Arabidopsis thaliana: one gene and its partners. The protein of the gene in region 2 interacts with the protein of the main gene of each other region in a pairwise test. Each region holds a gene or a part of one and is shown on either strand. Other genes may lie near its edges. The genes, in order: AT4G21060, CSLC04 and MUR3.

Evidence for each region.
Region 1: the proteins of CSLC04 (region 2) and AT4G21060 come close enough for resonance energy transfer, tested with the Arabidopsis thaliana proteins (one study listed by BioGRID).
Region 3: the proteins of CSLC04 (region 2) and MUR3 come close enough for resonance energy transfer, tested with the Arabidopsis thaliana proteins (one study listed by BioGRID).

The regions. Positions count from the first base shown.
Region 1 is NC_003075.7:11,239,158-11,245,492, forward strand, and holds AT4G21060 (Galactosyltransferase family protein), read left to right. Parts: upstream 1-1,572; coding exon 1,573-1,749; intron 1,750-2,368; exon of another isoform or gene 2,369-2,608; coding exon 2,609-2,687; exon of another isoform or gene 2,688-2,845; coding exon of another isoform or gene 2,846-2,930; coding exon 2,931-3,746; intron 3,747-3,906; coding exon 3,907-4,148; intron 4,149-4,289; coding exon 4,290-4,580; intron 4,581-4,744; coding exon 4,745-4,873; intron 4,874-5,014; coding exon 5,015-5,188; intron 5,189-5,283; coding exon 5,284-5,391; intron 5,392-5,493; coding exon 5,494-5,703; downstream 5,704-6,335. UniProt on the Arabidopsis thaliana protein: Possesses hydroxyproline O-galactosyltransferase activity. Transfers galactose from UDP-galactose to hydroxyproline residues in the arabinogalactan proteins (AGPs). Is specific for AGPs containing non-contiguous peptidyl hydroxyproline residues.
Region 2 is NC_003074.8:10,503,829-10,509,802, reverse strand, and holds CSLC04 (Cellulose-synthase-like C4), read right to left. Parts: upstream 4,093-5,974; 5' UTR 3,694-4,092; coding exon 3,058-3,693; intron 2,918-3,057; coding exon 2,609-2,917; intron 1,891-2,608; coding exon 1,486-1,890; intron 1,408-1,485; coding exon 736-1,407; 3' UTR 538-735; downstream 1-537. UniProt on the Arabidopsis thaliana protein: Beta-1,4-glucan synthase rather involved in the synthesis of the xyloglucan backbone than cellulose. Seems to work simultaneously with xyloglucan 6-xylosyltransferase.
Region 3 is NC_003071.7:8,790,000-8,794,923, forward strand, and holds MUR3 (Exostosin family protein), read left to right. Parts: upstream 1-1,939; 5' UTR 1,940-2,355; coding exon 2,356-4,215; 3' UTR 4,216-4,402; downstream 4,403-4,924. Other genes in the region: AT2G20362 (uncharacterized protein), read left to right, coding at 1-156; AT2G20380 (Galactose oxidase/kelch repeat superfamily protein), read right to left, coding at 4,819-4,924. UniProt on the Arabidopsis thaliana protein: Involved in the attachment of the Gal residue on the third xylosyl unit within the XXXG core structure of xyloglucan, the principal glycan that interlaces the cellulose microfibrils in plant cell wall.

The DNA of each region.
Region 1 (6,335 bases), on a different chromosome or scaffold from region 2:
CGGAAGTTAATGTTCCAGTCCATCGTTTCTACTTCTTTTTTTTTTATTAGTTTCGTTTATGCATGGTTTATGTTGGGTCTTTTTTTAGTTATAAAAGTTTGCATCTTTGTTTAAGTCCCAAAATATTCAGACATAAGTTGTTTAATTCCCAATTTCTTTGATGCTTGTAATTTTTTTTTTAATCTCGCGAAAGCAAAATTTTAGGCTGATGCCTTGGCAAAAGAGGTCTCCTCGCTTGTATGAACTCAATTCTCTAAATCGAATGAAAACAAGGTTGTCCAAAAAAAAAGAAAGTTGTTTGATCCTTTTTCCTTTTTATATATACAATAAGAACTAGAGATATTTCTCGAACAATCTCAACACGAGTTCGATTTCCGTTGTGAGAATTAATTGATTAAACCTTAGTCTCGATTGTGAAATGTTCAGAATTAAATATTATCAATATTAATTCTCCAAAAGAAATCCTAAAATGTTAGTAGCCAACTATAAAGTAGATATGTGAACCAAAAGAAATTGAGATTATTTATTAAATATATGACGAATCAACAATGATGTAATTAATACTTAGAAATTCGTTGAAATCTATGTTTTAATTAATACAACATTTATAGTCTTTAATGAATTTCTAGATTTTAAAATTTTAATTAATTATTGAAAAATGTGTTTCTTAATAAATAATTTTATTTTATAGGTAATTATGACTATATGGTTAAAGACCTAATAAAAACATAAATGAATAGTTACAACTTGCTCTCTCAGATTTTCGAGAGCCAAAACGGCCACTTTCATAGACAAAATCTTAATGAAATTAAAGAAAATCTGATATAACAAGGACATTGACAAAACGTCCAGATTGTGTTAGTATAGACGTGGATTATCATAAGACCGCCGGTTAATGCAAGGGAAAAAGCTAGATTTTGTCAGTCATCGATTCCGACAGAGATAGAGATGAGGTCTTCCACAAGGAATTTGAAACGTGCTCACTCTTTCCTTTTTATAATAAGCTTTCTTAACTTCATTATCCCTATCGTTTTCAAAAGTTGGCAAATGCATTATCACCATATAGTGAATTAGCTATATGGTTACATGAATTTTTTGAGTGAATTAACTAACCATACTGCATTTCCTTCTAATTTTTGTTTACCTCCGTTTCATTATATACTGTTTTAAAATATTTTTAACTTTTAATTATATCGTTATGAAATACACTTATAAGGGTTTTTTTTTTCTATTGAATAAGCTGAAATAATAACAATAAAAATGATTACGATCGTAAATTTGGTGTAATTTCTATGTAATGCTTTTAAATTTTTGAGACAAAATAAATTGATCGCGACAAAACAAATAAAGACTTACACTACACGTGTCTATACATTAAATAGCAAAAGCTATTGACGGTGCAAAACGTCAAAAACAAATGCCCTACGTCGCGGGTAATTAACAAACTCATCCACATATATATACGAGTTTCGTATCTCAAACATTTCATAAATCAAACCATCATATACCTCTCAAATCATTTCTTTGATTTCTATAAACACTATTCTTGTTAATGACTGACCATAAAAACAAATGGCTACTTCTCGTCTAGCTAGGTTTGTATCAGAGGTTGCTCCACCTCAATTTGTGACGGTTATGAGGAGGCATAGAGCAGCGAAGCAGAAGCTAGACACAATCAAAGAAGAAGAGAATAAAGAAGATTCTTTCAATGGTGGGATGGTGGTGATGATGAAGACATCTCATCAACATGTTTATTCACCTAATTCTTCTTATTCCTCTTCGTCTATTTCGGTTTCTATTTCCGGATCTAGCAGCTCTAAGAATTTTCGAAGCTCTTTTTCTGTCTTCGAAAACTAAGATCTACGTACTAATGTTGTATTTTTTAATGATCGGGTCGATATTTTTGTATGCACCCGTTTATATTATATAGTTCAGACCTTTTTATTTTTATTTAAAAGGTCTGATTAATAATACATGTTATACACTTATACCTTTTGGTTATCGTTTGTAATTTTCGATCGAAACCCCGTTTTAATAAGGATGTGTAGTTTTGAAGATACTTAGTTCGAAATAGTAAAAATGGAATGTTTTGCACATTTTCATAACAAACAAATATGTATGTTTAAAAGTTTTATTTTTATTTAATTATTCATTCCTAACATTTAACAAAATCTTTATAGATAAGAATATGTAATTTTGGAGATAAATAACAGAGAAATCAACGACTTTAAAAACCCTTGATTCGTTGTTCTTAGTGAGACTTTTGACTAAATTTATACACATGTGAATATTGTTAAGAATAGAGAGACCATTTGGTGGTTTTTAAAATTTAAAAAATGAAAAAAGGTTCCTTCCGATTTCTCAATTCATCTCCTGAGTGGGTTTTTCTCCTCTGTTTTATTTCTCTAATAGCCCTAGATTCAAGGAGATAAAACTGCTCAAATCAGGTGGAGATTTGCTCTGCTTCATTGGTTTTTTGTTTTGTTTGAGTTAGTGACTTTATCTATTTCTTCTTCGCCAAAAGACGAGATTTTTAAAACAAATTTCGTCTTTTTCAAATTCTCGTGTCAAATTGAGACATTTGGGTTGCTTTGATTGGATTTCGTAGACTCTATTGATCTTCAGATCGTGTCGAGATTTAGCTGCTATTGTGGGGTTTAGAATCCTTCTCTTTACCGGATTCTCAGGTTATAAATCTCCTTTACTTCTTTCAATGAAGTTGTTCGATGAATTGGCTACATTTTAGGTACTCCAGGTGCAGTTTTGTGGCACTAATTCGTCTTGTGAATCAACAAGTCGAGTGATTTTGATTGTGGAAGGTAGTAATTTTTAGTTGACCCTCACAATGAAAAGAGTAAAAAGCGAATCTTTTAGAGGAGTTTATAGTTCTAGGAGGTTCAAGTTGTCACATTTCTTACTAGCTATAGCAGGGTTTTACTTGGTTTTCTTAGCTTTTAAGTTCCCACATTTCATTGAGATGGTTGCTATGTTGAGTGGTGATACTGGTTTAGATGGGGCATTAAGTGATACTAGTTTAGATGTTAGTTTAAGCGGATCGTTACGTAATGACATGTTGAATAGGAAGCTAGAAGATGAAGATCATCAAAGTGGGCCTTCTACTACTCAGAAGGTGTCACCAGAAGAGAAGATTAATGGATCTAAACAGATTCAGCCACTTCTGTTTCGGTATGGTCGAATATCAGGAGAGGTCATGAGACGTAGGAATAGGACTATTCATATGTCACCTTTTGAAAGAATGGCAGATGAGGCTTGGATACTTGGATCCAAGGCTTGGGAAGATGTTGATAAGTTTGAGGTTGATAAGATCAACGAGAGTGCTTCTATATTCGAAGGAAAGGTGGAGTCATGTCCTTCTCAGATCTCAATGAATGGAGATGACTTGAATAAAGCCAATAGGATCATGTTGCTTCCCTGTGGTCTTGCTGCAGGATCTTCTATTACAATTCTTGGAACTCCACAGTATGCTCATAAAGAATCTGTTCCTCAGCGTTCGAGATTGACAAGAAGCTATGGAATGGTTTTGGTTTCACAATTTATGGTTGAGTTGCAAGGGCTGAAGACAGGGGACGGTGAATACCCCCCTAAGATTCTTCATTTGAACCCTAGGATCAAAGGTGATTGGAATCACCGACCAGTCATTGAACACAATACATGTTATAGGATGCAGTGGGGGGTTGCTCAAAGATGTGATGGTACTCCATCCAAGAAGGACGCAGACGTGCTTGGTAAGATTTTGAGCATCCATCATAAACTGTTGTTAGTTGCCGGAATGTAGCAAGTCCATGCTCAGAAGTCTAAGTTTGAATTACCTTAGCTTCTTTTTTATTGCTGTGTAGTTATGTTTCTTTTTGTTTTCTCTTCATCTAAGTAAATGTACTTTTCCAGTTGACGGATTCCGAAGATGTGAAAAGTGGACGCAGAATGACATAATTGACATGGTGGACTCAAAGGAATCAAAGACAACATCATGGTTCAAACGGTTTATAGGACGTGAACAAAAACCAGAAGTCACTTGGTCATTCCCTTTTGCGGAAGGCAAGGTCTTTGTCCTAACTTTGCGAGCTGGAATTGATGGTTTCCATATTAATGTTGGTGGAAGACATGTGTCTTCATTCCCTTATCGACCGGTATGTGATATCAGATGAGCATTCTACTTGTATATGGCTTTGGTCTCAGCACTCAATAGTATCATTTGTTCAAACCAAGAGGATTCATCTCGTCCATGTCTGATAACTTTGTAAAATATTTTGTGATGTCTGGCCTCTCAGGGATTTACCATAGAAGATGCCACAGGGCTGGCAGTTACAGGAGATGTTGATATTCATTCTATTCATGCTACTTCTCTTTCAACATCTCATCCGAGTTTCTCACCGCAGAAAGCTATAGAGTTTTCTTCAGAATGGAAAGCTCCTCCATTACCTGGCACTCCTTTTCGCCTTTTCATGGGTGTTCTCTCTGCAACTAACCATTTTTCAGAGCGCATGGCAGTGAGAAAGACATGGATGCAACATCCTTCTATTAAATCTTCAGATGTAGTAGCCCGATTCTTTGTTGCACTTGTAAGTTCTTACAATCTTTCCTTATTTTAAAGCATGATCTTTAAGAAGTTTAATACTGCAGGTCGATTTAATTGAAACATTGAGATGGAGATTTGCTGATTTGAAGTTCTTATGCTTTGGAATACTGAGCAGTTTATGTGTTTTTGTTGATTTGTTTTGTGTAGAATCCAAGAAAGGAAGTTAATGCAATGCTAAAGAAGGAGGCTGAATATTTTGGAGATATTGTGATTCTGCCCTTTATGGATCGATATGAGCTAGTGGTCCTTAAGACAATTGCCATTTGTGAATTTGGGGTATTGATCATTTCTCTCATGACTCCATATCTGTTTAAGTCTTTGAACAATCTCTGATAAGGATCAGTAAATGAACAGTTTCCCTCATTGTAGTTACTTTACACAAATCTAATTATGAGAGTCTGAATATCTTCCATTCAGGTCCAGAATGTGACAGCGCCATATATAATGAAGTGTGACGATGATACCTTCATCAGAGTGGAATCAATTTTGAAACAAATCGATGGAGTCTCTCCAGAAAAATCACTTTATATGGGGAATCTAAATCTTAGACATCGTCCTCTTAGAACTGGCAAGTGGACAGTTACATGGGAGGTACAATGGCTTCTGTTCTTTACCTGCATATAGTCTGTATGATTCAGAAATCAGAAGCAGCCTCAGATACTAAATTTTCTCTTATACTGTAACAGGAGTGGCCAGAAGCTGTGTATCCTCCTTATGCCAATGGACCCGGATACATAATCTCAAGCAACATTGCTAAATATATTGTTTCTCAGAATTCAAGACATAAGCTTAGGGTCTGACCCTTTATCATCGTCTTACGTTCATCTCCATCTTTTACTGTCATGAACATAAGAGTCTCCTAACATTTTCAAACTATTTCGACTTTGTTGTCACAGCTATTCAAGATGGAAGATGTGAGCATGGGATTGTGGGTGGAGCAATTCAACGCCTCTATGCAGCCTGTCGAATACTCACACAGCTGGAAATTTTGCCAATACGGATGCACACTGAACTATTACACTGCACATTATCAATCTCCGAGTCAAATGATGTGCCTGTGGGATAATTTGTTGAAAGGTCGACCACAATGTTGCAATTTCAGATGACCAAAACATAGCACTAGCCGGAAGATATTACAGGATTACAGATTTGGCACCACCTTAACCCATTTTGTAATTTTTCCTCTTTGGTGCTAGTTGCTTACATTTACACATTCAAGATAACAATCTCTTATTGTACATTGATTAGGATTTTGTCTAAGAAAGAGATTTACACTGATATCTAAACAAATTCTTTCAAAACGTCTTTGCCATAACACTATGGGGCTACCAAGAAAGAGAAGCCAAGGTCACTGTATTATACATTTATACTACTCTGCTGGTCTTTAAGTTCTTGAGTCATGTTATCAAGATTTTGGCTTTCATCAAGTCGCATTTCCTTAATCATCTGCATTTCTTGCGCTTCACTGAAAGATTTCCAGCTTTTGCAAGATGGGGAAATGGAAGAGGGCATCCACAAGATCCAGGTAGATGTCACTGAGTTGTTTTCTTCAGTGTTTGCCATAATCCTCATCCGGTAGATGTGACATACCCATAGAGACAACAAGTTTGGTTAGTATACAGATGAATTGATCAGAATCCTGATTGTATAAACAGAACATCTAAACATCAATCTTAAGAGTGTGCAGGTCAATAGCAGAAGCAACTGTAATGAAGAAAACTCGAAAGACGGATTGATT
Region 2 (5,974 bases):
TTTAGGAAAATAGTTAAAGTAAATAACAAATATGGTTAGTTTAGAGATATTGTTTATATTAAATTTGGTAATTAAATCATTAATTTTTGTTTTTAATTATTAGTTTTTAGGTAACTTTTCCAAAAATTAATGTTATCCAAGATCAGAACAGAATTAAACATGTTATCCAAGATCCGAACAGAGTTAAACCGGGTTATACCCACCCATTTGAATTAATTGTTGAATTATGGCTCAAATCTTCAACATTATCTTCAAAAACGTCTACAAAAATGTATATATAGATAACTAATCTGATCTCTATCTACACTTCTTTTGAGTATTTTTCCGAGACAAATTAAACTATGACTAGACAAATTATCATTTGTAATCTTTCCACTAATGAGAATAGTTTGTAGTTCCATTCATTCTGTCCACAAATGCTATGGTAATCAAATCAAAGTTGAGAAGACAAAAATATTTTCTATTAGAGGTAATGTGATTGAGTAATTGTGATTGAAATACTGTTGAATATTTATCCAAACAAAACATCTAAGAGCTATGATTTTTTAAAGTTAAGCCAAAATCATATAACAAATTCGTTTCAATTCATTTATCTGAAACTGGACATTATAAGTTCTTGAAAATTATGTATAAAACCCACATATAAAAAGGGAAAAGAATTTAAAAAACAAACAAAAAAATAGTGAATATAAACGGTATTTTTTTCCTTGTTCTCTGTCTTGGTTTTGTGTGTGTCTAGCTGATCTGTTCTCCGATCAAATCCAACCCTACAACCAAGAAAGACAGTCCCTGAAACAACAAAAAGTAGAAGTGAAGACCGTGCGCCGATAGAAAGCTCCTTGCAGCTGCGGTTAGCAGCAAGAACGCAAGCCCGAGCTCTTTCTTGAACACCATGTTCGTCTTCTTCTTGTTCTTCGGCCTCATTAGCCCTCCAAGGCTCTTCTTCACGGTTTCTTGCCCTACAAGATTTGTCTCTTGCTCCTTAAGTTTGCTCAGAAGCTCCAAACCTGACTCCGAGTTTCTCCTATGCAACTTCTCTTCCTTTTCAGCAAACGCTAGCAAATCGGACTCCGATGATCTCCCGGTTTTCTTCGTCACAACCCACTCGTAAGCCGATCCAAACTGAAACAGCCCGGAGATCATGGCGTTGAACTTGGTTATTGACATTGTGTTTTCGAAAAGAAGGTAAGGGACTAAGAAAGGGAAAGATTTAGGTGACGGGAGAATGTTGAGAAGCGAAATGAAGATAGGAACATAGCAGATGATCCACAACGGAAGCTCGGCTTCGGGTATGAACATTGTCAATGGAAGTATAATGCAAAAGAGTGTGAATGAGTAAAATGGTAGAATAAGCTTCCTTAGAAGAAAGAAAAGGAAGATCAAATTCGCCTTCTTCCAAACCGATATCTACAAACACAAAAACAAACAATGAGTATATGTAATGATGTTTAACTACTATCACTAGTTGTAGAAATAAACTTTTACCTTTGATTTGATAATTGAAGGAAGGCATAACCGGAACAGCTGCATAGGACCGGAATGCCAACGATGTTGTTGCTTCTTGTAAGCTTCATAAGACTCTGGCAACTCGCAAGTGACTTCAACATCATTAAGGTAAATAAACTTCCAGCCGTTGAGATGCGCTCTAACCGCGATATCCATATCTTCCACGGTGGTTCTCTCGAGCCATCCGCCGGATTCTTCCAATGCCTTGATCCTCCATACTCCAGCGGTTCCATTGAATCCGAAGAAATTGAGAAACACACCGTTCACTTGTTGTTCTACTTCGAAGTGGAAACATAAGTTTATGTTTTGTAGCCTCGTGAGGAGATTCTCATCTTTGTTCACAAATGACCACCTTGCTTGGACCAACCCTAGCTCTGGATTACCCTGTGCAAACAAACAACACAACACTCGTAAGAATCTTGATATTCAAAAATGTTTGCATAAATGTAAACTTCCACATGAATATACTTTTACATTTTAACAAAATCTATTGACTAGTCTACTTAAAAATTCCGGTCTCAGTCATCTTGAGTTCGACTCCAACAACCCACATGAAAAATAAGATATGCTCTTTAGGTGGGGTACATAAAAATAAAATAATAGAATTTCGATTTTTCACAAAACAATAACTTATAAAACAATTATTATTATAATATGTAAATGTAAAAACAAAGGAATAATTGAAACCCGGAATCAAACAGAATCAAGATTAGCTTCAACTAGATTGAATTTGAAGACTTGTCATGTTAGAAAAATCAACCAAAGAAGTCATGAGTTTTGTAATTTCATATTTGTCGGTTACTTCGATTTCATACATAACAAATTACCAAATTGGATTTTCCTAACATAAAACCAAAAATACAAAAAACAATATAAAAATTTGTCGGTTACTTAGAACATGATCCACCGAAAAATAGATAAAACCAGCAAAGACAACTGTCGGTGATGAGTATAATCAAAAAAATATTTTCTATCAAAAAAGTGTAAAAAAGAAACAAATCTTTTTCCAGTGAATTTCTCTAAAACATTCATCGTAAATTACGAAACGTCAAGAAAGAAGTTTCCTTTTATAAGTTTGGGAATAAAGAGATTGTGTTCTTACCTTGAAATGAGGAACAGTCTTCTTGAGGAAATCAGGATTTGGTGTGAAATCTGCGTCGAAGATAGTCACAAACTCGTAATCTTTAACGTAATCACAAGTCATGGCTGATTTCAAATTGCCAGCTTTGTAACCAGTTCTGATCAACCTATGCCTGTAAATTATGTTTACGCCTTTTTCGGCCCAAACCGATACTTCTTCTTTGATCAAAAGCTGTAAATTTGGATCGTCTGAATCATCTAATACTTGAATTAAGATCCTATCTTTTGGCCAATCAAGTTGTGAAGCTGCTCCTATTGATTGTTCATACACCTAGAAGAAAACAAAACATAACAATTATACTATGTAAGAGAAAACAGAACATAAAACAGAATAAAAACAGAGTAAAAACAGAGCAACACAGAGTAAAACCAAAGTGAAAACAGAGTAAAAACAGAGTGTTTATAGTTTACCTCTCGTTCGTTGCACATTGGGATCTGAATAAGGACCATTGGGAAACTGGAGGGGTCTTCTAAATCGATAGATTCTTCGGTGAGCTTAGGTTCGATCTTTTTAAATTTGATCCAAAAGCAACCGAGACAGAGGACTAACCGATCAAGAGACTGAATCAAAAAGAGTACAGTGCAGAATCTGGAGAGACTGATGACAAGAGGAGCGATGTAATCGGATCGAAACGAGAGCCAAGCCATGTACGACCATTCGACAAGCCCGTAAACCTCCCAAGACGGTCGGTTAATGAGATCAAGATTCCATTTCTTGAAATGTGCAACGATTTCTATGGACAAGGCAATAATGGAGATGACAAGACAAGCTTTGATGAATCTGTACATTTGTTTTCCTCTGCTTTTAGGATCTTCTTCTTCGTTAATGTTCTTCGCGGAGAACGCGATTCGCTTTTTAACCGAAGAGACTAGCCACGAGAGACACGAGATGAGTCTATGAGCTTTGAGAAGAAGGAACCATGAGAATTGTTTTGGACTGATGGATTTACGTTTGTCGGGGAATGAGGATGGATCTGAGCCGTTGATCTCTAGTAAAGAGAAGTTGTCTGGCTTCTCCATTGTCACTGCTACTGAATTTGGAGCCATGAATGATAAAGAAACAGAGAAGGGTGAGAAGAATAAAGAAAAGGTATTTGTGTATTTTGGTACTATGAAATGTTTGTCATTATAAAGAAGTGTAGAAGAATCGTCACTGTTTCATTAAATTTTCCATAAAAACAGGATCGTTTGTTTATGTTACACAGACAAAACAGTGTTCTGATTAGATCAGAATGTGAGATACTTTGGGTTCAGCTGTGTAACTGAAACTTGTGATTGAGAGAGAGAAAGAAAGAGAGACGAGGATCATGTGCTGAAGTGAACCAACTAAGTAAATAAAGAGGAGAGGAGAAGAAGAAGAAGAAGAAGAGAGTTCTCCTTTCTTTGAATTTTCCTCTTTTGTTTTTGTAAAGGAAGATTTTATTTAATTATTTTCTTTGTTTGAAAAGTCCAATTTTTATTAGTGGGATCTATTTCCAGCGTGCATAACTAAAGAACAAATTATATTTATTTATGACAAAAAAAGAAAATTTGATTTCTTACTATATGATCAATTTACTATTTTATTTTAGATTCTATAACAAATGATTCAAATGATAACTAATTTGTAAATCCCGTGAATTTTATTTTAATATTTTTTTATCAATCAATCTTTATTTAGAGTTCAGAATCCCGTGAAAATTATTAAAGTAAACATACTCGGAAGTTATGGTTACGTGTTTTTTTTATTAATTTTCAGAAATTACTAATTTATGTAGTTAATTTAGAGGCATTTTTTTTGATATATTGTATAGACAATAAAAGTTTATCAAGTACTAATCTAGTATTTAAAGAAGGCTAATGAAGAAGGCTAACGCATATAATCAAAGATTAGTTGGGTTTTCTTTCATATCATTTTTTTATATTAGTTAACGTGAAAATTTTAATTTGATGTTAAATACATTTTATCTTATATGTTAGTAGTTTGGAATCATTTTTTTTTGCCAGTCTTCTAAGTAAATTAAAAAATAGTAACCGATTTTTTTGACCAAAATCAATCCTAATGGTTTTAGCCTTTTAGGTGGAACGATTTGGTTTAAAGTTACTTTGTTAAGCAAATCCGCGTCTAGTGATTTGATTAAGTAGGAGAGAGACTGCTGTTTATATTATTTTGGGGAAATTTACATCTTTATAATTATACCCATAAAATGAAAATACTTTACTTAAAAAAAGCTATTGGCTTATGGATCTTACGCGATATGTCCAGTCATAAAACTGCGTTTATACATGCATGTGTGTGTATTAAAGAAAAACAAAATGAATGAGAAGAAAAACACAAAGAAAAAAAAGAGATGATTCCAAGAAAAGGCCAAAAATCAATTTGTATGATTGGTAAGGAATTTGGAGGATGACAACTTGGTCCAGCGATGACCAGATTAAACTTATAAAAATGTAATTAGATCAACTTTACTAAATTATAATATTACTTTAACTCAAAGTAATGGACTATGTTGTCGCTTCACTGTCTTCCAACTTTTTTTATTTGATCTTGTTGATTCAAAGTGTTAAATGAATTATCCAGTTACTGTAACCCTTTGATTTGGATAATTTTTCATTTCCAAGATAAATTTTCACTTATTCACAAACATTTAGCTTGTGATTTATCATCGATGATCAACGGAGTACAAGAGATAATAGAGCATGTTAGAAGTCCCACCTCAACTCTATGGCAGATTAGACAAATGTCATGGGTTTATTGTTAATTTTAAAAAAATTCTTAATGATAAAAGGTTTAATATTATTTTACTAAAAGATTTTAGATTTTTGTTGATTTTGCTAGAAGCTCAACGATATACTGCATGTTATTGTTAGATGGGTTCGATTATGTCATGCTTGTGTCACAAGACGTTGCAAAGTAAATCAAATCAAATCTATTTCACTTATATATATAATCAAAAATATGGATCTCATTTTCACAATTATCATATTTTTTTATAGACATACTGATATATATATTGGTTCTCTCTGGTCAAAAAGTTTGTTGGATGCAGGATTAAATTAGAACAGTATTTTTGAAAAGAAATTACAACAGTAATATATTTGATAGATATCGACAGTGTAACAACATGTAAAATGTGAGTAAACTATAATCACGATATATGTTTTATGTTTTAACTATTAACCCAAAACTATATGAATACAAGCTGTGTAGTAAAATTCCATAACAAAAAGATTTAATATTTTCAAGTCTAAGAAAAAGACAATAACCGTAACCGGCGGTGAGAGAAGAAAATCACATGGGAAGTTTCTATTTTACGAACATAAAATATTATTATATTAAAATATATAT
Region 3 (4,924 bases), on a different chromosome or scaffold from region 2:
GATGACGTTAAAATGACCCGCGACGATACCATATCTAGACAGAAGGAGATGACCTTGATTAAGGTTGGGTTATGTTTGGTCTGTCTTTTTAACATGTTTCTAGTATTCATTCTCTTCCTCTCCTCTTGGTTCCGGAAGGAAAGTGGTTCCGTATAGATCTCCCCATCAACCGATGATCATGCTAAGAAGTAAGAACGATCTCGCCTATAATTGTTTCCTCGATTTAGTTATACTTATCTATGTCCTAATTTGTAGATTATTCCAGAAAGTTCCTATCTATAACAGTCAAAAACACACCATATGTTGTCTTAATTCATATCATTCCAGATTAAATCGAAGATTAATGCTATAGTCCAATCATATAAACTATGTAGTAGTCTAGTGGGACAAACGACGTGACGATATCAAGAGGGTACAGGATTAAAAGCTATGAAGTACGTTACCAATTACAATCTCAAGATTCTCAACCACCGGATTATAACTACAAGTACCGATTTGGCGATTTGACGAATACAGATCTATCAATTAGCTAGAAATTTTCTTTCCATGCATTTTCCCACCCTCCCATTAGATGATGATGATTAGAAGACCACGATCTCATTGGTGTTCACTGATTCAAGAGCATTTCAAGAGAATATAATTCTTAATTATGAATTTGTTCAATAATTAATCCCCACCCCACTTTTCCAAATCACCCTTACATGTTCACCAATTGTAACAAATAATTAAAGAATCAAAAGTGATTTCTTTTTTAATACTTATTGTTGGGAAATACTTAATGCTAGTCCATAACTCTCTTCAATTATTTAAAGGAGGAGTAAGTAAGTTTTTTTGCAAGTCCTTTTGTGGTATCCATGTGAGTTATACATTGGGGAGCACAAACTTCCCCACTCCCACAAGCCACGTTTGTCGCTTAAAGTTTCTAAGTTTTTTTAATTTTCGCTCTTTTTGGTTTGTTATTTATGAGTGTATGGAAGTGGAGTCTCCCCCTTGAACACTTCAACATTTACACTACTAATCCCGACTTAGACGACAAACATTTTTTCTAAGTTCGAATGTAATTCTCCTAATTCGCTTTGACCTGTTTTTGAATTTTATACTATTCAATTTTAATTTAGATATTTATCTACTTTAGACTTGTAGAAAATTGTTTTCAATACGAGCATATTTATTACCTACTATGGAACCATTTACGGATTTACCACCATAAATTAGACACCAGTATTCATATAAACTATCTCTAATTTTGAATTTAAACAAACGAAAACAAAACTTAAATCTTCAACTGGCTAACAAAATTTTACTCATCAATAAAACAAAGCAGTGCATTTTGTTTTGCATTCTAATGTCTCTTTTCTCTTATTCGACCTACATCAATAGTTTCATACAAACAAAGTCATTTTGGAGCATTTTTGGTCTTTGTTTAGACTTAATTATTTATGTAATTAGGTTTGCAAAAAGGCTAGTCATCTGCTTTATGCTTACTGTCAATCCGTCATCATTAGTTGGACATCATGCACGAGATTTGGTCTCAACAAAAATATTAACCTATTTCTACACAACATTCAAACTAAGGCAGTCAAAACTTATGTACTTATTGAAATACTAATTGATTAGCAGAGAGACGTTAAACAATGAGCTTGAACTTGAAGTAATCATGTTACAACGTGTTTTGGTTCATGCTTAGTGCTTACCATCAAATTCTGCGATTTGTGTTATTTCCAACGTATAGCATGCTACAAACCACTCACATGATTACACATGGAATCGTACCCACACGCTCGTCGAAATCGCACGTTACGCGCGAAACTGAGTCAAAGAGGTTTATATCTGACGTCATCGACACTTGAAACCGACATGTTTTCACACGTGGCAAGGTCCCACTGGTCACCGACAACTACAAGAAAAAACTGCCGGCGCAGATTTAGCCGTCCGACTAACGTGCGCTTTCAATTACATTATACAGAAGTCTCTCTTTCTTTCATTGACGGTGATGAAGACCAGCTCAAAGCCAGGTCAAAATCCATCAATCCTGGCCTCATCAATGTTAAAAATCTTTACTTTCACACATCTCTAGATCTTCCATAGAAGGATCAATCAAAAGCTGTAATCTTTCTTTCTTCCTCGTAGCTCCTTCTCTTGCGGATCCTTGTCGGTACACTTCTACATTCTCAAATCTGATTCCTTTCTGGAGTTGCTCCTGAGCTACGGTTCAGCTTCAATTACTTCGATCTCGTGTAAAAATCACTTCTAGAAGCTTTGATAAGCTTTGATAGGAGTTGGTTTTACTCTTTAGGGTTTTGTTTGAGTTTGATCTTTATTGTATAGATGTTGTGATCTTCGTACACTCTATATATGTTTCCAAGGGTTTCTATGAGGCGTCGCTCTGCTGAAGTTTCTCCTACAGAGCCAATGGAGAAGGGAAATGGAAAAAATCAGACTAATCGAATCTGTTTGTTGGTTGCTTTGTCACTCTTTTTCTGGGCATTGTTGTTGTACTTCCATTTTGTTGTCTTAGGGACTAGTAACATTGATAAACAGCTCCAATTGCAACCTAGTTATGCTCAATCTCAGCCATCATCAGTCTCTCTTCGTGTTGATAAATTCCCTATAGAGCCTCATGCAGCTCCATCGAAACCACCTCCCAAAGAGCCTTTAGTTACTATCGATAAGCCAATACTCCCTCCTGCACCAGTAGCCAATTCTAGTTCCACCTTTAAGCCACCTAGAATTGTTGAGAGCGGGAAGAAACAGGAGTTTTCGTTTATAAGAGCCTTGAAGACAGTAGACAACAAGAGTGACCCTTGTGGAGGGAAGTACATTTATGTTCACAATCTACCCTCAAAGTTCAATGAGGATATGCTTAGAGACTGTAAGAAGCTTAGTCTCTGGACTAACATGTGTAAGTTCACAACCAATGCTGGCCTTGGGCCGCCGCTTGAGAATGTTGAAGGTGTCTTCTCTGATGAAGGTTGGTATGCGACTAATCAGTTTGCTGTTGATGTGATATTCAGCAACCGGATGAAGCAGTACAAATGTTTGACAAATGATTCTTCCCTTGCTGCTGCCATCTTTGTGCCGTTCTATGCTGGATTCGACATTGCTAGGTATCTGTGGGGATACAATATCTCGAGAAGGGATGCTGCTTCGCTTGAGTTGGTCGATTGGCTCATGAAGCGGCCTGAGTGGGATATAATGAGGGGAAAAGATCATTTCCTTGTGGCGGGTAGGATAACGTGGGATTTTAGGAGATTGTCTGAAGAAGAAACTGATTGGGGCAACAAGCTTCTCTTCTTACCGGCTGCCAAGAACATGTCTATGCTTGTGGTTGAGTCGAGCCCATGGAATGCTAATGATTTTGGGATCCCGTACCCAACCTACTTCCACCCAGCAAAGGACTCAGAGGTTTTTGAATGGCAAGACCGGATGAGAAACCTGGAAAGGAAGTGGCTTTTCTCGTTTGCAGGAGCCCCACGACCTGACAATCCGAAATCTATCAGAGGGCAGATCATTGATCAATGTCGAAACTCAAATGTTGGCAAATTATTAGAATGCGATTTTGGGGAGAGCAAATGCCATGCACCAAGCAGCATTATGCAAATGTTTCAAAGCTCTCTCTTCTGCCTGCAGCCACAGGGAGACTCTTACACCCGAAGATCGGCATTTGACTCAATGCTTGCCGGTTGTATACCGGTCTTCTTCCATCCGGGTTCAGCCTACACGCAATACACGTGGCATCTACCCAAGAACTACACAACCTACTCGGTATTCATCCCCGAGGATGATGTTCGGAAGAGAAACATAAGCATCGAGGAGCGACTCCTCCAGATTCCAGCCAAGCAGGTCAAGATAATGAGAGAGAATGTCATCAACCTCATCCCAAGGCTGATCTACGCAGACCCGAGATCAGAACTGGAGACGCAGAAAGATGCATTTGATGTCTCGGTACAGGCTGTGATAGACAAGGTGACTCGGTTAAGGAAGAACATGATCGAGGGCCGAACCGAGTATGACTACTTCGTGGAGGAGAACAGCTGGAAGTATGCGTTGCTGGAGGAAGGCCAACGGGAAGCAGGGGGCCATGTGTGGGACCCGTTCTTCTCCAAACCAAAGCCCGGAGAAGATGGCAGCAGCGATGGTAATGGAGGCACGACTATTTCAGCAGATGCAGCTAAGAATTCATGGAAGAGTGAGCAGAGAGATAAGACACAGTGAAAAGAGACAGAAACCACATTTTGTTACGGTTTTGATATAGTTTTCGGTTACTATTTATACGGACAAAAAATGATTTATTTTTGTTGTATTGGTATCAAATGTAGTTTCTCCAGTTTCATAGAGATAAGTTTGTTTGTATCAGTTACCCACAGAAATTAATAATAAGAAGTGACCCTTTTCAAGTTTCTAACTGAAGACAGTGCCTATGTTTAATTTCGTTTGCATTTGACATTTTGCATTTGCAACACATATTCAGAACTAAAAACGGACATTACCCGCTAGTCTCATGCATCATTCATCAAACAGTAGCAGACCGAGTTTGTCATCAAAGGGTTAATCAAAGAGACAGACAAGTCCCGAAATAAGCTTAATCATCTACAAGCAAGTCAATGCCAGATATTTATAAGCAAAAACAATGTCAGGCACTAAAATAACTCACTAAATAAGCTTAAACCATCATCCTACAAAGCAAGTGACTGCAGATCATATTTATAAGCAAAAACAATGTCAGGCACTAAAAGAAAAAGAACTCACTAAATAAGCTTAAACCATCATCCTACAAAGCAAGTGACTGCAGATCATATTTATAAGCGCTCAAACCTGTCAAACAGTAGCAGATTTAGCCCCAACGAATTGGTAATACTTAGGGACTCTAAGAACTGCATCGAACCACTCGATCTTCCCCCAAATCTCTTTCTTGCTGCGCTTT